4 linked regions of the Saccharomyces cerevisiae S288C genome follow. The protein of the gene in region 3 purifies or fractionates together with the protein of the main gene of each other region. This does not show direct contact. Each region holds a gene or a part of one and is shown on either strand. Other genes may lie near its edges. The genes, in order: UTP13, UTP10, IMP4 and PWP2.

The links.
Region 1: the proteins of IMP4 (region 3) and UTP13 purify together in Saccharomyces cerevisiae (affinity purification with mass spectrometry; 3 studies listed by BioGRID). This does not show direct contact.
Region 2: the proteins of IMP4 (region 3) and UTP10 purify together in Saccharomyces cerevisiae (affinity purification with mass spectrometry; 5 studies listed by BioGRID). This does not show direct contact.
Region 4: the proteins of IMP4 (region 3) and PWP2 purify together in Saccharomyces cerevisiae (affinity purification with mass spectrometry; 7 studies listed by BioGRID). This does not show direct contact.

What each region holds. Positions count from the first base shown.
Region 1 is NC_001144.5:578,780-583,636, forward strand, and holds UTP13 (U3 snoRNA-associated protein UTP13), read right to left. Parts: upstream 2,993-4,857; coding exon 539-2,992; downstream 1-538. Other genes in the region: RSA3 (Rsa3p), read right to left, coding at 1-245; IFH1 (Ifh1p), read right to left, coding at 3,454-4,857. UniProt on the Saccharomyces cerevisiae protein: Involved in nucleolar processing of pre-18S ribosomal RNA.
Region 2 is NC_001142.9:211,487-219,159, reverse strand, and holds UTP10 (snoRNA-binding rRNA-processing protein UTP10), read left to right. Parts: upstream 1-1,850; coding exon 1,851-7,160; downstream 7,161-7,673. Other genes in the region: YJL107C (uncharacterized protein), read left to right, coding at 1-307; pheromone-regulated protein PRM10, read left to right, coding at 304-1,455; GZF3 (Gzf3p), read left to right, coding at 7,583-7,673. UniProt on the Saccharomyces cerevisiae protein: Involved in nucleolar processing of pre-18S ribosomal RNA. Required for optimal pre-ribosomal RNA transcription by RNA polymerase I together with a subset of U3 proteins required for transcription (t-UTPs). Involved in ribosome biosynthesis.
Region 3 is NC_001146.8:483,801-486,984, reverse strand, and holds IMP4 (snoRNA-binding rRNA-processing protein IMP4), read right to left. Parts: upstream 1,379-3,184; coding exon 506-1,378; downstream 1-505. Other genes in the region: MLF3 (Mlf3p), read left to right, coding at 1-219; MKS1 (Mks1p), read right to left, coding at 1,675-3,184. UniProt on the Saccharomyces cerevisiae protein: Required for the early cleavages at sites A0, A1 and A2 during 18S ribosomal pre-RNA processing.
Region 4 is NC_001135.5:219,956-224,972, forward strand, and holds PWP2 (snoRNA-binding rRNA-processing protein PWP2), read right to left. Parts: upstream 3,274-5,017; coding exon 502-3,273; downstream 1-501. Other genes in the region: CTR86 (Ctr86p), read right to left, coding at 1-112; YIH1 (Yih1p), read right to left, coding at 3,499-4,275; TAH1 (Tah1p), read left to right, coding at 4,444-4,779. UniProt on the Saccharomyces cerevisiae protein: Required for bud-site selection and cell separation. Also involved in nucleolar processing of pre-18S ribosomal RNA.

The sequences.
Region 1 (4,857 bases), on a different chromosome or scaffold from region 3:
ACTTCTATTGCAATGTCCTCTTGTTTGTCTTCGTCATTACCTTTTGAGAAAACATGATCACTTTTACCATTTTCTCCAACGTGTTCTTCGATGGCCCCATTTTGGATTTCCTCCTTTTCACTTTCTGATGATGGATCCGATGATGAAGAATCTGATGATGAAACATCAGCTGTTCTTCTCTTCTTCCTCCTTCTGTTTTTTTTGACAGACTTGATATTTATGGCTGATATATCACCTGCCGACATCCTGTATAATATATTATGGCTAGTTCTTTCCGTGCTATTTCAAGTGGGCAGTTTAAATTCTTGTATATATTACTACAATATATGAAAGTTTTCGCTCTTCGTTTTTTGCAAATTTTTAGTGATGAGCTCTTCGCGCAAAGAAGTTTTCAATGCCCGTAAAGGCACCTAATTATATATCGAATTATTTTAAGCTTTCCGCTTCATCAATGCATTTTGTCTTTATATATCTAGTTTACAAAATAATATGTTGCTATTGCCTTGCTTTTAAAGGCTCAATATCTTGGACTTACTGCCTAGAATAGCTTATCCATTTCCACTAGCGCGTAGTCTAATATGTAACTTTGTTCAACTAAGTTATCAACCCTTGTGAAATGCCTTTGCGTGTATGGAATTATTGCATCAACTATCTTTACCATTCCGGGTATCTCACTCAATTTTGCTATGTTATGATGCATCAAAATACATCTTATTGTTCTTTGCGCTATGGTATGTGTTTTTGCATTTGTATTCCAATCTCTGCATCGTTTCATTAACAAAATTAACTGTTCATCATTTAGGATAGAGATGGCTTGGTCCAATTCTTCATTGAAAATGACTTCAATTTTGCCCTCTTCGGTATCTTGTCTAGACCTTGATTCGCCCAAAGCTCTTTTCAAAACATTAAACAACCTCATTGGGTGATCTAAAGTCATTGCTAACAAAAATGCATTTGTCCAATCACCTTTGCTCATATAATTTTGAAGCGATTGTTCTTGTTCGACTTGTAATTTAGCTTTTTCTTGTTCTTCTTCTATTTCTTGTTCCGTACAATCTTTCCAAAACTGAAAAACACCATCTGCATCAGCACTTACGATCATATCACCATCATTCATAGTACTTAAAGCCCATAATCTATTATTATGACCATCCAAAGTCTTCAGACATTCACCGCTAGAACAATCCCATATTTTGATCAAGCCATCAGCACCACAACTGATCAGTTGTTTTTGCTTATTAATAAACGAACATCTTTGAACCGCATTGGTATGACCTTCCAATGTTTTCATAACGCTGAATGTATCCAATGACCATATCTTGACTGTTTTATCACCTGAAGAAGTTGCCAATAATTTATCATATTGGCAAAATGATACATCCCATAGTCCACGCTTGTGGTTGGCCAACGTGGCTTCCAATTCACCATTTTCTAGGTTCCAGATCTTACAGGTCTTGTCGTATGATGCTGTTGCAAAAATAGAATCGTTAGGAGAAACTGACAAAGCATTGATATCCTTTTCATGGGCATGACGAGTATATTCGGATACCTTGATGATTTGAACATCCATACTAGCAGTTGGCTTTGGAATTATCCATTTCTTAATTGTTAAATCATTCGATGCTGTCAATAAAAATTCAGGATATCCCTTTGAAACTATATTTGGCAATCCAACAGCAGTTACGGCAGCTGAATGACCAATATACTTGGCATAAATATCAAACTTGCAGCTGTTCTCATTGTATCTCCAAACAATAGCCGTATTATCTTTAGAGGCGGTTGCGATCCACAGGCCATCCTCAGTAGCATCCAATGAATTTAGCAAATCTTCATGACCTTCATAAATTTCGACATCCAAAGGCAGCGAAGCTTCTGGGCCTGATAAATCGGGGACGGGTATTATCCTAAGCGATGGAGAATTGGTAGCTAAAGCTAATTTATTCAGCTCTGGGCCAACATACCTCATGTCAGCAATAATACCATGATTACCAGCAATGCTCGAAGTGACCTGTATTGTGTCTTCATCATTCTTTAAGTCTTCTTCAACGTTAATTAGTTGTAATGTCTGGTCAGACAATACTAAAAACATCTGTGAATTGCTCAATATTGGAAGTACACCAATAATGAATAACTCTTCTATAGGTTTATTGGTTCTTTTAAGCACGCTACCAGATTCAGAGTCAATTAACTGAAAGATAGCATCACCGCCGGCTGTATAAATTATGCGTTTACCGTCACCATCCTTTAGGAATCCGCATGACTCTACCTGTTGATTTACTGGAAGTGTTTTCAACAATTTACATTTCTTTTTCATATTGAAATCCCAGAGATTGATGATATCGTCTCTACCACCGGAAAGTAAATTTAGGCTTGGCTCATCATTATCTGGTACCTCAATGATATCCAACCCTCTCACAGCAGATGTGTGCTCTTGTAATGTGTGCAAGCACTTCCTTTTAACAAGATCCCAAACCTTTACCATACCATTGGTGTCACCGGATGCTAATAACCATATTTTACTATTCAATTGTCCATAAAACTTCAAACTGGAAATTGTACCACCATGACCTTTGAACGAATGAGTAATGTAACCATTTTCAATATCCACAACAATTATACTACCATCTGTCCCTCCGACTGCGAGAAGCGTTGAAGTGGAATCTGCGTCGAGAATGTACGATGGAGAAGAGATTTTCATTGATCTGACAACTTTCCCGGTCTTAAGGTGAAAGATTTTTAAAAGCTGAGCTTGTGAAACATACGTGAGATATTGACCATCAGGAGTTAATTTCAGTGCAGTAATTTCTTGCTCGTCTTCATTAGAAATCTTGTGCAAAATTTTTCTGGAGCCTGGGGTTAAATCGATTATGTTGATTTCGTCAAGCACCGGAGTAGCTAGTATTTTACCATTTTCTGAAACAGTGGCAACAGCACTGCTTCCTGCATAAATAGGGTTTAACGATATACCTTTATATGAGGTTTTCAGATCCATATTGTACGTAGTATGGCTTACTACCGTTGAGAGTACTATGTTGTTGGTTCACACCTTTAATGCCATACCGCTATTATATCTGAGAGCGATGAGCTGAATTTTTCAGAAAATTTTCAGTCGCTTTACACGGATATATTAAGAAGCTCCATCTTAATCGCCAGAAGAGTGGATGAGGTTATCATCTCAACTAGAGTCGAAGAGTAAGGCAATCCATCAAATGGGGTTGCTTGAGGCTTATTTACTTTTATACGTCTGATTGGACGGATTATACCAGTAAAAAAAATATTGATTGTGTTTTTCTATAAAAATATGCATATATAAGTAAAAAAATAACATGTAATTCTTTTCAACCAACGATAAAGCAAAATTCAGAGTAGAATAAGGCAAAGTCACATACTGATGATGATATTGTAAACGAAAGGTGATTTGATTGTAGTAACCATAAAAAAATGCAAAATAGCTCATTGTAAGACGTCATTGAATTCGAATGAATGGTTAACATCATTGCCCATAATTCCTTCGATATCTGCCAATGCACTCTCACTAAATAAACCATTTTTAGTGAAACGAAGATTTTCAGCCGCTGCTTCCACCATACTTTGCCTTCTTCTCCACATGGAATTACTATTTTCATGGCTTAATGTATTGTCGAATTGCACAGGAGCGGTTAACGATGCTAGGATATCGGCGTCAGTATCTTCGATCACATGACCTTCTTGTGCATCATAACCGTTAATATCACCTACAGACAGTAAGTCATTTTCATCTTTGCCCAAAATCTCATGAATTTCATCTAAACCAACACTTTTTGTTGAATTTTTCCTTGTATTGCTGTCCACGGCAAGATCAGAATTATGAGGTATTAATGACGCATCTTCAGGTGCGTGAGAGGGAAGTTCATTCATAGGGGTATTTTCATTGGTTGTAAAATCGGTACCGGTATTTATGTCGCTATGGCTGTTATTGTTACCGATGATCTCATGGCCATTGATTCCCAATTGTAAATTCATAGTTTCTTGCTCCTTTATTGCCTTTTGTCTTTGCTTTCTTATTTTAAGAAGCTTCTTTTTTTTCTTTAACTGCCTTTTTTTTTCAGTTTTTTTCCGTTGTAGCTCTTTCATCTTATCAATCTTCTTTCTTGTTCTTTCATTACCAATATAGCCAATGGGAACTTTTCTGTTAGAATTTGCTGGTATCATGTACTCATCTTCTTCATAGGCATTAATACCCTTATTTCTAAATGCAGATAATGGAACCTTAGGAACTTCATACCAATCTGCAGCATGGCCATTTGTGCTTTTGCTATTAATTGCATCATTGTAATTGTTCTCCATATCGTCTGTGTGGGATGGTGAATCATCCTCCAATTCACTCATGTTTAGCAGCTCATTGAGTGTCAATTCGTCACCGTTATTGCCATTAGAGCTTCCCTCTCTTTTAACATCTGGGGTTTGAGCCCTTTGATGTTGCTCGCGAAGCTGTTGATGTTCTTGGATTAAGGCGTATAATGATTTAGTAGACAGACCATCAATAATACTAAAAGGTTTGTTGTCCGTCTCCCAAGTACCCAATTTTGGTGGACGTAATCCAACAACATTTGAACTTACGATTTCCTTTGCTTTTGAGCCAATGTTTTTTGACCTTGAACTTGGGGGCGGTAGGTTATCATCTTCATCTGTGGATTCGTCATCAACGTACACAACAGTCTCTAAGAGATCATGTTTGCAATCTTTGGATCCATCAGAATTTTCTTTGTCTGAGTTAGAACTTATCAAAGAGGAAGATCCATCGCTGTCGTAATGAAAGTAAAAAGAGTCTGGATCTAAATCATCGATGTCTATGAACACATTTGTCACGCTGGAATC
Region 2 (7,673 bases), on a different chromosome or scaffold from region 3:
AGATGATGAAGGTATTTCTTCTACTGCTGGAAACAAAGACGTACCAGTTGCCAAGCGTAGCAGATTACAAAATTTAAAAGGCAAGGCTAAAAAAGGCAGAATGCCTAGACTGAAGAAAAGACTAAAAACTGAAGCGAAAATTACGGTTCACATTGCAGACATTTTACAAAGACACCGGTTCATCCTACGCATGTGTAGAGCTCTTATGATGTATGGTGCTCCGACGCATAGGCTTGAAGAATATATGGTTATGACTTCTAGAGTCCTTGAAATAGATGGTCAGTTTTGTATCTTCCAGGTTGTATGATTGTTTCATTTGGTGATGCAACAACAAGAACTTCCGAAGTTCAATTGGTTAGGTGTACTCAAGGTCTAAACCTTTGGAAGCTGCATCAAGTTCATGCCGTTTACAAAAGAGTTGTCCATGATACCTTAGGTGCCGATGAAGGTAATGCTTTACTCGATCAAATTTTGGCTGACACGAATCTATATCCACCTTGGATGTGTGTTCTTTTATATGCATTTTGTTCCGCTATGGTCACTCCGTATGCCTTTGGTGGCGATTGGGTAAACCTGGCAATCTCATTTTTTATGGGGCTTTGTGTGGGGTCATTACAATTTATTCTTTCACAAAAGTCATACATGTATTCAAACGTCTTCGAAATTTCTGCATCTATTGTCGTTAGCTTCTGCGGTAGAGCTTTTGGCTCTATCCCTCGTTCTCACATCTGCTTTGGTGCAGTTACACAAGGCTCATTGGCATTAATCCTGCCAGGTTATATTATTCTGTGTGGTGCACTAGAACTGCAAAGTCGAAGCCTAGTTGCTGGCGCGGTCCGTATGTTCTACGCCATTATTTATTCTTTGTTTTTGGGTTTTGGCATAACATTGGGCTCAGCTTTGTTTGGATGGATGTATCACAATGCCACTAACGAAATTTCATGTCCTCAATTAATTTCTCCGTGGTTCAGGTTCCTCTTCGTTCCAGCGTTTACCATTAGTATCTCGTTATTAAATCAAGCACACATCTCACAACTGCCAGTTATGGTCTTCATTTCTTGCACCGGTTATGTCGTAACATATTGGGCCGGTAAGCATTTTGCGAATTCGACAGAGTTTACTGCCGCCTTAGCTGCATTTGTCATAGGTGTTTTAGGTAATCTATATTCCAGAATTTGGAAAGGTTTAGCGGTATCAGCTATGCTTCCCGCAATCTTCGTTCAAGTGCCATCTGGTATTGCTTCACAAAATTCGTTGTTGTCTGGGTTGCAAAGTGCAAATACAATTGTTAATGCTAATGAAACCATTACGACAAGCACCTCCGATCCATCGTCCTCAATGTCATTTGGTATGACAATGATTCAAGTTTGTGTCGGTATTTCTGTGGGACTATTTGCTTCTTCACTCTTTGTCTACCCCTTTGGTAAAAAGAAAACTGGTCTTTTCAGTTTATAAGCTCTCACAAGGTCCACTTCGTTAGAAACTTGTTAACCAATGGACCAAGTGTTGCCATTGGGTCATTCTTCAGTATCAAAGAAGACTTTGACCCACTAAGAAAAATTTCAAAAGTAAATTATAAATATAGCATTAAGTACAAATAACATATCAGCTTATGAATCCTTTTTTTCAATTTTATGGTTTCATAGCCAATAATCATAACATACATAGATTAATAATATTCAAGTCACATGACTTTTTTTTTTTTCTTTTTTCTTTCTGCGTTAAGCAAAGAAAAAAATTTTCAGTTAGCGATGAGCTAGATATTTTCGAAGGTGTAACAAATACTTTCTTTATTACCTTTCAGAATCAGACTTATCTAACTGGCCACCAAAGTACGAATAACTTTGAAAATGTCTTCGTTGAGTGACCAATTAGCTCAAGTTGCTTCCAACAATGCTACTGTTGCGTTGGATAGAAAGAGAAGACAAAAACTTCATTCTGCTTCTTTGATTTATAACTCAAAGACGGCTGCAACACAAGATTACGATTTCATTTTTGAAAACGCTAGTAAGGCTCTTGAAGAATTGAGCCAAATTGAGCCAAAATTTGCCATTTTCTCAAGAACACTCTTTTCAGAGTCTTCCATTTCTCTTGATAGAAATGTCCAAACAAAAGAAGAAATTAAAGATTTGGATAATGCTATCAATGCTTACTTGCTATTGGCTTCTTCTAAATGGTATTTAGCACCTACACTACATGCAACAGAATGGTTGGTTCGTCGTTTTCAAATACATGTTAAAAACACAGAGATGCTGCTTTTGTCCACTCTCAACTACTACCAAACACCTGTCTTTAAGAGAATTCTCAGCATTATTAAGTTGCCCCCTTTGTTTAATTGTTTGTCGAATTTTGTTAGAAGTGAAAAGCCCCCAACGGCGCTAACCATGATAAAGCTCTTTAATGACATGGATTTTCTGAAACTTTATACCAGTTATTTGGATCAATGTATTAAGCATAATGCAACGTATACTAACCAGCTTTTATTTACAACATGCTGCTTTATTAACGTTGTTGCTTTCAATTCAAACAACGATGAAAAACTGAATCAGCTTGTTCCAATCTTACTTGAAATATCTGCTAAACTTTTAGCCTCTAAATCAAAGGATTGTCAAATAGCTGCACATACCATATTAGTTGTATTTGCTACAGCTTTGCCTTTAAAGAAAACAATTATCTTAGCTGCCATGGAAACCATTCTTTCAAACTTAGATGCTAAAGAGGCAAAACATTCAGCACTCCTCACGATTTGTAAGCTGTTCCAAACATTAAAAGGACAAGGTAACGTAGATCAGCTACCTTCCAAAATTTTCAAGTTATTTGATAGCAAGTTCGACACTGTGTCTATACTAACCTTCTTAGATAAGGAAGACAAACCAGTTTGTGATAAATTCATTACTTCCTATACAAGATCCATAGCAAGGTATGATCGGTCCAAATTGAACATTATTCTTAGCCTACTAAAAAAAATAAGACTAGAAAGATACGAAGTTAGGTTGATAATCACTGATTTGATTTACCTTTCCGAAATTTTAGAGGACAAGTCACAATTAGTAGAACTATTCGAATATTTTATCTCCATAAATGAAGATTTGGTGTTAAAATGTTTGAAATCATTGGGACTGACAGGCGAACTCTTCGAAATCAGGCTTACTACATCTTTGTTCACTAATGCCGATGTTAACACCGACATTGTAAAGCAGTTAAGCGACCCCGTGGAAACTACTAAAAAGGATACCGCTTCATTTCAAACATTCTTGGATAAGCATTCAGAATTGATAAACACAACGAATGTGTCCATGCTAACAGAAACTGGAGAAAGATACAAAAAGGTTTTATCTTTATTCACTGAAGCTATTGGTAAAGGCTATAAAGCAAGTTCCTTCTTGACTTCATTTTTCACTACTTTAGAATCAAGAATAACGTTTTTGTTAAGAGTAACTATATCTCCAGCCGCTCCAACCGCGCTAAAGCTAATATCTTTAAACAATATTGCAAAATATATTAATAGTATTGAAAAGGAAGTTAATATTTTTACTTTAGTTCCATGCTTGATTTGCGCTTTGCGAGATGCTTCTATAAAAGTTAGGACTGGCGTGAAGAAGATTCTTTCCTTGATTGCTAAAAGACCATCCACTAAGCACTACTTTTTGTCTGATAAACTTTACGGAGAGAACGTTACCATTCCTATGTTAAATCCCAAAGATAGTGAGGCATGGTTATCAGGATTTTTGAATGAGTACGTTACTGAGAATTATGACATATCCAGAATTTTAACGCCAAAGAGAAATGAAAAAGTCTTTTTGATGTTTTGGGCTAATCAAGCCCTACTAATACCTTCTCCGTATGCCAAGACAGTGTTGTTGGATAACCTGAACAAGAGTCCGACTTATGCATCTTCTTATTCCTCCCTATTTGAGGAATTTATTTCCCACTACTTAGAAAACAGATCTAGTTGGGAAAAGAGTTGTATTGCTAATAAAACAAACTTTGAGCATTTTGAGCGCTCTTTAGTTAATTTGGTATCACCAAAAGAAAAGCAGTCATTCATGATCGATTTTGTTCTCAGTGCTCTTAACTCAGATTATGAGCAGTTAGCTAACATAGCTGCCGAGAGGCTTATCAGCATATTCGCTTCATTAAATAATGCTCAAAAACTAAAAATCGTCCAAAATATCGTGGATTCTTCGAGTAACGTAGAATCATCGTACGATACAGTCGGTGTACTACAATCATTGCCGTTAGATTCCGATATTTTTGTATCCATACTAAATCAAAACAGTATCAGTAACGAAATGGATCAGACAGACTTTTCTAAAAGAAGAAGAAGACGTTCATCAACAAGTAAAAACGCATTTTTGAAAGAGGAGGTTTCGCAACTGGCGGAATTGCACCTGAGAAAGTTGACGATTATTTTGGAAGCACTTGATAAAGTCAGAAATGTTGGATCCGAAAAGCTTTTGTTCACTTTACTTTCCTTATTATCAGATCTGGAAACTTTGGATCAAGACGGTGGATTACCGGTTTTATATGCGCAAGAAACTTTGATTTCTTGTACGCTGAACACTATCACATACTTGAAGGAACATGGCTGTACAGAACTAACCAACGTAAGGGCAGATATATTGGTATCCGCTATTAGAAATTCTGCATCTCCGCAAGTCCAAAACAAACTATTACTTGTAATTGGATCTCTTGCTACTTTAAGTTCGGAAGTTATTTTGCATTCTGTAATGCCTATCTTTACTTTTATGGGAGCCCATAGTATTCGTCAAGATGATGAATTCACAACTAAAGTTGTTGAGCGTACGATACTAACTGTTGTCCCTGCCTTGATCAAGAATAGCAAAGGAAATGAAAAAGAGGAAATGGAGTTCCTTTTGTTGAGCTTCACAACCGCTTTGCAACATGTTCCAAGACATAGGAGGGTTAAATTATTTTCTACGTTAATCAAAACACTTGATCCAGTAAAGGCACTGGGCTCGTTCCTTTTCTTGATTGCACAACAGTATTCTTCAGCTTTAGTCAACTTTAAAATTGGCGAGGCAAGAATATTAATTGAGTTTATTAAGGCCCTACTCGTTGATCTACATGTCAATGAGGAATTATCAGGTTTGAATGACTTACTCGATATCATCAAATTGTTGACATCATCAAAGAGCTCCTCGGAAAAGAAGAAATCACTAGAATCCCGTGTCTTGTTTTCAAATGGTGTCTTGAATTTTTCGGAAAGTGAATTTTTGACATTTATGAACAATACCTTTGAGTTTATCAATAAAATAACCGAGGAAACAGATCAAGATTATTACGATGTGAGGAGAAATTTAAGACTAAAGGTATATTCTGTTTTGTTAGATGAAACAAGCGATAAAAAGTTAATTAGAAACATCAGGGAAGAATTTGGAACCCTTTTAGAAGGTGTTCTTTTTTTCATTAATTCTGTAGAATTAACCTTTTCATGTATAACTTCCCAAGAAAATGAGGAAGCTTCCGACTCTGAAACATCATTATCAGATCACACGACTGAAATAAAGGAGATTCTATTCAAGGTGCTTGGCAATGTGTTACAAATTCTACCAGTTGACGAGTTTGTTAATGCGGTATTACCCTTACTCAGTACATCCACTAATGAAGATATTAGATACCACCTAACGTTGGTAATAGGGTCCAAATTCGAGTTAGAAGGCTCTGAAGCTATTCCTATAGTTAACAATGTGATGAAGGTTTTGCTCGACAGAATGCCTTTGGAATCTAAATCTGTTGTTATTTCTCAAGTAATATTGAACACGATGACGGCTTTAGTGAGCAAATATGGTAAGAAGCTTGAGGGGTCCATATTAACTCAAGCCCTCACCCTTGCTACTGAAAAAGTTAGTTCTGATATGACAGAGGTCAAGATATCTTCGTTGGCATTGATAACTAACTGTGTTCAAGTTTTAGGAGTCAAGTCAATTGCGTTCTATCCAAAAATAGTCCCACCTTCTATTAAATTATTTGATGCTTCATTGGCAGATAGTAGTAACCCATTAAAAGAGCAGTTGCAAGTTGCTATACTGTTGCTGTTCGCCGGTCTAATCAAAAGGATACCAAGTTTCTTGATGTCAAATATTTTGGATGTTTTGCATGTTATTTATTTTTCCCGTGAAGTTGACAGCAGCATTAGGCTGTCAGTAATTTCATTGATAATTGAGAATATAGATTTGAAGGAAGTTTTGAAAGTTTTATTCAGAATTTGGTCCACTGAAATAGCAACGTCCAATGATACAGTTGCTGTTAGTCTATTTTTGAGTACATTAGAATCCACTGTTGAAAATATTGATAAAAAATCCGCAACCTCACAATCGCCAATATTTTTTAAGTTACTATTATCTTTATTCGAATTTAGATCCATTTCCAGTTTCGATAATAATACAATTAGTAGGATAGAGGCATCCGTTCACGAAATTTCCAACTCTTACGTCCTGAAGATGAATGACAAAGTATTTAGACCGCTATTTGTTATATTAGTAAGATGGGCGTTTGACGGTGAAGGCGTTACAAATGCAGGTATCACTGAAACAGAAAGACTGTTGGCATTTTTCAAATTTTTCAACAAGCTTCAAGAAAATTTGAGAGGTATAATTACTTCCTATTTCACGTATTTGTTAGAACCTGTTGATATGTTGTTAAAAAGATTCATTAGCAAGGACATGGAAAACGTTAATTTAAGACGTTTGGTAATCAACTCTCTAACCTCTTCGCTAAAGTTTGATAGAGACGAATACTGGAAATCAACTTCCAGATTCGAGTTAATTTCTGTATCCTTGGTCAATCAACTATCTAATATAGAAAACTCTATTGGGAAGTACCTGGTCAAGGCAATTGGCGCTCTGGCTTCTAACAATAGTGGCGTTGATGAGCATAACCAAATTTTGAATAAACTAATCGTTGAACACATGAAAGCTTCCTGTTCCTCCAATGAAAAATTATGGGCTATTAGAGCCATGAAGTTGATATACTCAAAGATAGGTGAAAGTTGGTTAGTTCTATTGCCACAGCTCGTTCCCGTCATCGCTGAGTTATTGGAAGATGATGATGAAGAGATCGAACGTGAAGTCAGGACCGGTTTGGTCAAGGTTGTTGAAAACGTTTTAGGGGAACCTTTTGATAGGTATTTAGATTAGAAAAAAAAGGTGAAGTATTATGTAAATTTTTGTAAAGTAAAACACTATGCTGTTGAACGAAATCTTTCATTGAAAATATTGTTATTCATTCGTGATAGCTGCCCCTTTCTGAGTTTGAACTTAATATTTCAATTACGCTACTTCAAGTTTCAATGAGATATTATTCTGTCATCTTTCTCGTCGTTCCTAGTGATTAACGTTACTAAAATTACTGATCCTAAATAGCGGGCGAACAGAGTGAAAATTTTCTTATCTTCGCTTATCTGCGCTTATCAATCCTAATCAGTGAAAAATAAGATATAGGCTTGATAATAAGGTAGTTTGAAAGAGAACATATTGCAAGCGGTTGAAGCTATAATACTAGATATACGAATATCATTTCGGGTATTTGTACTGTGCTCTACAATTCTACTGGTAATATTATGGCATCGCAGGCTACAACTCTTCGAGGCTATAACATTAGAAAACGAGATAATGTATTTGAACCAAAATCAAGTGAAAACCTCAACAGCT
Region 3 (3,184 bases):
AGTAATCCCGAATTAGCAACCCAGACGCCTTTATCGACATCTTCGTCATATACAGCAATAGGCAAGCCCATGCCTTTATCAACAGATCCTTCTTACGTGTCTTCTTCTAATACGTTATCCTCCGAACATGAGTTAAGAGTTGAAAAAGTCAGTGAAGTGCTTAAGAAAAAAGTTTCAAATGGTGGATTTTCAACTGAATTTAATAGTTGTGATACATAAATTTCCTTTCTGCACCTCTTCCCTTCGTTCGTTTTGTTCTTTTAAATTTATGTCTTCATATGGTTATTTTTTTTATGTAGATACTCTCACAGATACATTGATAAACAATTAAGAAAAAAAAAAAACGCAAAAATAAAAATAAATCATGTGTTATGCTATCTCTTCTTTTCTCTTATATTCCCTCTAAGACGCTTTTTTTTTTTTTTTTTTTTTAAGAATACCATATTAGACTTACATAAGGCCTCATCGGCCTTCTATTTTAACCTTTACAAATCTATAAAAAAATTCACAAATAGTCTTTTTTATTGGCAGTCCTTATGAATCTTCTCAACTGCCACTCAACATCAGCGTCCTTATTTTCTAAAGTTCCCAACCTCAGTTCAAACAACCTCATCTCAAATCTAGGACCAACTTCGGCAATCTCTACTCCCTCTCTTGTTCTCACATATACATGCTGTCTAACGCTAATGAAATCACCCCTATTCGCAAAAGTGATTACTCTTTCGGAATCTTTTTTGGGCCCCGCATTGAACAAGTGCTTTAAAATACAGACTACTCTTTTCCCTAAAGCGGTAGTAAAGTTATCAAATATTAGATGTGGATTCACTTCGCTTTGGTTACCAGCATTTATAATATCATGTCTCATAACAACATTGTGTAAACTAAACTGTGCAGTGGGTCCATGTGGAAAATGTGATATGGTCAAAGAAGTTGGAACACCTCTATGTTCATGTAATACCACCAAATCTGTAGTACCGGATTTTTTACAAGCATCCACTAGATTTGGCATCACATAATTACCTCTGTTCAGCCTGACAGCATTTGGAAATAGCAGTTTAATTTCTTTGGCAAATTGCGAGAGACGAGTGCTTGGGTCACGAGATGTTGTGACGATGATTCTTGGATCCATTATACCACTTGTGGCAGCATATTCATCATCAACCTGTAGATCATCTGCTTCTTCGCTCTCCTTTAAACTTTGGTCATATCTGAAATCCTTTTGTAAACTCTCATCTTCTGCTAGTTCCTTTGGCAATGGCTTCCCCTGAGCTAGCGCTTGTTTAATTATTTGACGTTTTTGTTGCAGTTGAGAATCTTGTAATTCTTGCGCTTTTCTGTATAGATATTCTCTCCTTTCACGGGCTTGTCTTCTTAGCATTTCGATTTAACTGTTTTATTATTTATGGGAACACTTGAATCAATGATAAAACCGAGTATATATGCCCTTTCAAGTCCAACCTCATGCAATCAATATATACGCTACTTCATGCATTTTCATCTCATCGCATTTCCGGGATAAAATTTTTTATATTTTTCAGTACACAATATCCGTTACCCGAAGTGAATAGTGTGTCATTAGAAGGAACTCTTTCACTGCGTAGATAGTAAAATATATGACATTATCTTTTTTTGAAAGAACTTTAAATACTGTATCTGATTTATTTAACTTAGTAATCATATTCGCCCTCCATTACTCGTCTTACGCCCCAGTGCTTCCGTTCTCTGATTAGAGGTGTCATCATTACCATTTCCATTACTGTTTGCAATACTCGTATTGTCAAGCCGTGATATTGTACGTACCATCTTTTCTTCCTCAGAGATCTCCATTCTGGTCTTCAAAAACCCAGTATTCCTGTTCTTGGATGGGATATCCATCGACTGCCGCCTCGAAAAACGATGTCGCGTATTACTACCAGTGGCAATCGCCATTCGTTGTTGGTGAATGTTATTTGGCAAAAACATGTGAGTAGATAAGGCGGTGGGCAGTATAGTTTGAGCAGTTAGCGGAGCATTAGATTCATATAAATGATTGGACTCATTATCAGTTTTGAAGTCCTTTTGTATATCCATCGATAACCGCTCATTGTTGGATGGTTGCGGGGGAGATAGCGATGCTAGAGCTGTCACGTTGCTTGTTTTCAAAGAAGGTTTTTGTTGTTTTATACCATTAGCGCTCGGTGGATTTTGCTGCGGTTGAGGACCGATATTACTATGAGAGGACTGAGGAGTCGGCGAAACGTGTTTAGAAGCGTATTCACTATGTGCAGTATTGTGGTTATTACTGTTGCTATTTGCCTCACTAAGGAATAGTCCACTGAGTAAACTTTTTCGTACGGGATCATGGGATGTGTTTGAGTTGATTGTGTTCGCTGATGAAACAGATGATTTCGTTGAGTCAAGATTCTGTTGATTTTTGGCAAATAAAAGCTTGTCCCATTGTCTTCTATAGTACTGATCTGCTTCTTCCTCATTATAATCATCGTACTCTTCATCATCTTCATCAGCGTAGAATTCTGAATCATTCGAAACGCTGTCCCAATCGGAATCTTCATCTTCACTGCTGAAAAATATCTTGTTTTTTCCTTTTCTAGAGGATGTTTTCGAAAGTGACAGTTGACCATTTTGGTCATTCTTGTAAGACCTTGGCCTTCCGAATAAAGATTCCTTCTGAGGAAAAGAGGATTTTCTACTTCCCATATTTTCAAGAGTAGGACTGGTACTCTTGGAAGTCTCATTATCAATGCAGTTCATGTTCATGTCTCCTATATGCTGGAAAGGTGATCTTGAGCGTCTTGATTGTAAAGGTTTCTTGGTTATAACAGTGCTTGTATCAAAACCAGTGATAATAGTTTGTGGTTCTTCCTTATTAGCAACATGGTTCACATTTTTCATTTTTTGATATTTGTCTGCAAAATTTGAAAACAACCCTGACGTAGTAGATTTGGAGAATTGTCTGTTTGGAGCAACGTCATTTTTCACATCATTGTTTGTAGAATTAGGATTATCCAAGGATCTATCGTGAGCACCCTGTGCGATAGCTGGTGATGTCATTGGCCGAGTTAAAACGTTCTGTTTTGCCGTTGTGGGAGGCAAATTGGCCTTTTGTAATGGTGGCTGCTTTACTGCTGCCTGCTTTGGCTTTATTGGCTGTTTGTTGTTTGGATTTAACACATAATATATGTTC
Region 4 (5,017 bases), on a different chromosome or scaffold from region 3:
TCAGGTTTTCGACGATTGGCTCATAATCCTCGACGCAACATGGGTCGTTCTTCATCATGGTAATGATTGAATCAAATAAATTGAATTCATCTAGAAAATTGTTCATAGGCATTGTTATTTAGTTATCTTCTTTTTTGATGAATCAATAATTTTATAAGGCTTAGTGTAATTGTTCTCCCGATGATAGTATGAAACGGTAGTCGATAAATTTGTGTCAAATTTTTTCCTCATCCCATCAATTCTTCATTTTTTCCCTTCCTATTTTTTTTTTTACTGAAGCGATGATGCCTTATATATAAGGAAAATAGCCTCGTCAGTCAAAGGACGACTCCCGTAATGGTAGCCTCAGTTTATATTAGGCGCTCTCATCATGATGTATATCGATATTGGCGATGATATTTTTTTTTGTTGATATTAAATACAAATGTAATGCTTTATATAGTTCTATACTTGGGGAATACATGATGTGAATGTGCATAAATAGAGGACAGTGAATATTTTTCAAGGAAGCTCTTTCTCATTTTCTTCTTCATCACTGGAATCATTTTCATTAGACAAGGGTAATTTGTTATCCTTCCCATTGAAACCAATCCATCCTTCCTCGTCGTCAGATTCCATGACTACATCGTTCTCTTCGTTCTCTTCGTTATCTTCATCTGCGTCATCTTTTAATAGAACCTCGTCATCATCAGCCGCGCCATCTTCCATGGACCCATCAGTTGATACCAAAAATCTATAGGTGTATTTGTTATCAGTAGTGGTATTGACTACTTCCTTAGCCACTCTAACAATAAATCTTTGTATCGACCTCATAGCCGTCGAGAAGAGATATTTGTGTTCATTTATGTAACCACCGCTCGCAGATAATAGAGCTTTGATCCAAATTAGGTTAAACTCAATGTGTTGGGATTCAATGGCAAAATCACCGATGAACTTCAGAATCCTCGGTAAATATATTGCAGGAATATTACTTGCAACCAAGGGGATTTCCTTAATAGGTATGGCTTCATAGACTTTATTGATCAAATATTCTTCATTTAACCTGAACGCCATTACTAATGCATTTAAAAACTGCTTTTCTCGTAGCGCCTCTACAGTAGAATGGGGGGTGACGTCCACATCCAGATCAAAGGGATCAAATAATATCGTGTCATTGGTGGAATATATCAATAAACCTTCCGTTGAAGCAGCGGCAAATGCATTCGCCGTTGGGGAGAATTGCACCGAAGTAACTCTAACCTCTGGTCTCATTTTTCTTGTGGACAGGTCGCCACCTCTTTGAGACCCTGGTAAAGAATTATCAATACGATCCTCCAAATCTGAATTTTCGCCTGCATCGTCAATCAAATCTAATGAACCTGCTTCAGTCATTTTCTTACTGTTTAAAAATTCGAGAGTACCATTCAAAGCCATGTTTCTGGACACAATGAATCTTTTTAACAAGACTTCATTTGGAACATCATATAGACAAATGGAGTTATTATTACCACCAGCCACAATAGCCATACCATCAAAACTGTAATGTATTGTAGTAAAAAATTTGGATCGTTCAGAATTTTTGGCAGTGAACCTATCTTGATTAAACCTACCAGATATTATATCCTTTCTACAGTCAATGTTGCCCACCTGCTTGGCATCTTCTATGTTGAAAATGGATATTTGACCCTTTAAGGTAGATACTGCAACTTCTTTACCATCTGGTCTCATTGATAAGGCTAAAACATCGGAATAAACTTCTATAGGTTCTACTTGTTGGCTTCTACCAAATATGGACCAGATTCTAATTGTTTTATCCCATGATGCAGAAGCTAAGACACTGTTCTCTTGACTAAATGAAAGACACGAAACAGGGCCTTCATGTCCGGACAAAGCATCTAATAATTGACCAGTTTGCACGGACCAAACATGAATGTCAAAATTGTCCAGGGACCCGGCACAAACCACTTCACCTGATGGATCCACCGCTAAACAATTGAATTGGATTCTTTCAGTACCAGTGAATGTTCTAAAATTACGATACCTGATTAAGTCCCACGCTCTCACCGTACCATCTAACGATGATGAGAACATGACCTGACCCCTTTTCGCAAACTGTACAGCAGTAACTGAAGAGGTGTGTTCTTCAAAAGTGGCCAAACAAAACCCTGATGTAATGTCCCAAACTTTGATTTTCCCATCTTCGGATGCTGTCACTACACGTGAACCATCCGGAGAGTATGCAAGACTATTTGTGGAATCGAAATGGCCCTGCTGCTTCAAGATATACGATTCCGATTGCCATTCGTAAACTAGTAATTGGCCCAGTTTGCTGGAACCAAACGCCAGCCATTCGCCGGTTTGGTTGACGCTAACGGTGTTGACTGGGTTTTGCCCCATAGAAAGCTGTTGAATCAAAGTGAAATCAGGCAAATCGTAAAGACGGAATTCCCCACTAGTAAATCCGACAGCTAAAAGCCTTGTTGCTGGATGGAAGGTGACACACTTTACTTTGGCTTGGTTTGCGTAAAAAAAATGTTTCTTTGTGATTCTCCAGCTGTATTTCGAAATATCTACTTCTTCTTGCTTGTCGTCGTCTTCACTTTCATTGTCGTCGTCATCGGATGGCCTCTTGGTAAATTCCCAGACAAAGACAGCACCGTCTTTGCTTACAGTGTAGATTTTTTCCTGATCATGACTGAAGAACGCACCCATAACGTAGTCTCTGTGCCCATTAAATGTTGTCGCCGCAAGGTTCTTTTCCTCTGAATCTACGGACCATATTTTTGCGCTTAAGTCTTTGGAAGTCGTAAGGATAAATCTGGAATCTTGTGACCACGTCAAAGACGTTATGTCTTGAAAGTGTCCCGCATGCACCCTATGGCGGACGAAGGGAGCAAACTGTCTGTCTTTATTAACATCTGGAGTCTTCCAAATCTGTAAAAACCTGCCTGAGGCTAATGCAAAGAGTCTCCCATCAGGGCTGAACTTCACAGCGGAGCATTTTTCTTTGAAGTTGAAATGGTGAAGCACGTTACGGGCTTTGAAATTGACAAGGATGGCGCGACCGTCCTCGTCAATAGAAATCAGCAATGTGCCTTGTTTGTTCAGATCAATGGCAGCAATATTTTTGCGATGCTCGTATTCAAACGTGAACGATTTGTTGTTGATTAAGTCAAACACGCTGACCCTATTCCCCACCGGTGAGAGTAGTTGCTTGCCATCATCGGAAAAGGTGATGTTACCTTGCCTGTAGACCGTACCTAAAAGGTTAGAGAACTTGAAATCGGATTTCATTGGGATGCGGTTCAATCTGCGGTCTGCTCTCCTGTCTACCTGTTGAAAACGATACTATTATTACTATTATTGATATTATACTAGTTATTGTACATACCTAGAACTATACTCGAAACTTTTTTTTTTTTCATCTTTCAGCTCATCGCAAAATTTTTCCAAAAAATTTCAAAAAGAACTCCCGTCGCATGTGATCAAGGTTACAGGTGCTTGACATAATCATAATGATTACGAGTCGAAGCCGGCCCTGACAACAGCTTCTCTTGCCGTAGAATTGATGTGTTTAAACCGGTCGGGACCTATGTGGGCACCGCCGAACCAACGGGCCACCACAACGATGACGTTCCACACATCCATGATGGTGATGAGGTGCAGCATTCTGGAGCCGGCGGCCGTTTCACCGTCATCATCGGAATCTTGATATGTTGCCGCAGAGCCATCCTGCTTGATTCGCCATGCACTCATGACATGGTTTGCCTTACGCATCTTGGAGTCGGTCTTCAGTAGGTCTAGCATGGCAAACGCTTGTTCCTCGGAGGTAACATGTGCTGCAAAGGCCATGAAAGTCGAGCCTCTATCAGTAATGGGGTCCGACGCGGTCCAGCCCTCGAAGGGGTCTGTGGGAATGTCACTCTGCTGGACCGGTTCTGTCTCCTCCTCTGGTTCAACGTACAAGACACCGTCGAGTTCTGTGAGGAAGTCAAATAGACAGACAGATCCGCGGTGGAAAACAGAGTCCATCACTTCCTGGAACAAATGCTGAAGGTACTTGGTATCGTAGAGATCGCGCTTAGCCAAAGAAGTGCAGACACCAACTTCGATGACATTAGGAGCCTCCTCGGAGGGGTAGTGTGTCGGGAAGGAGATCTGCAGTGTCATGTATTCATGCTGCGGCACTTTCACAACGATGATGCTTCCGTCTTCCTGCTTCTTGGAGAGAAGATCCGGATAGATGGCCTCGACGGCCTCCAGTTCTTCGACCAACTGTTCGTGATCGTCATCCATTGAGCTTTTCTTTCCTCTCTCTTTTTTTTTTCTTGTTACATATTCCTATATATATGTATATATATCTATATATATATATATCCCAGCGTATATGACTGCACAAGACGCAATTTTCTTGAACGGTTTTTTCTTTTCAGCACTGCGAAAGAGAGAGCAACGGTAAAGAGCATGAGCCAATTTGAAAAGCAGAAGGAACAGGGCAATTCTTTGTTCAAACAGGGCCTGTATCGCGAGGCTGTGCACTGTTATGACCAACTAATTACTGCTCAACCGCAGAACCCGGTCGGGTACAGCAACAAAGCCATGGCGCTGATCAAACTGGGTGAATATACACAGGCTATTCAAATGTGCCAGCAAGGACTGCGGTACACCTCAACGGCAGAGCATGTAGCTATCAGATCCAAATTGCAATATCGTCTAGAGCTGGCACAGGGAGCGGTAGGTTCAGTACAGATCCCTGTTGTAGAGGTTGATGAACTACCGGAGGGATACGACCGGTCCTGAGAAAAGAGAAAGGGAACACTTCTAATTTATCTTTAAAATTATATATATATATATATATATATGTGTGTTTGTATACTCTGTGGGTATTTCCGTGTATATGGTTAATAATAGTAGTATCTTGTCAGTTTTTTTTATGTTTTTCTTCGCGCGTCAACTTTCTACCAAGAGAAAAACAATATAAGGTCTCCTTACTCTATAGGAGAATAAAACAAACAAAAATAAAAAGCACATCGTAGCG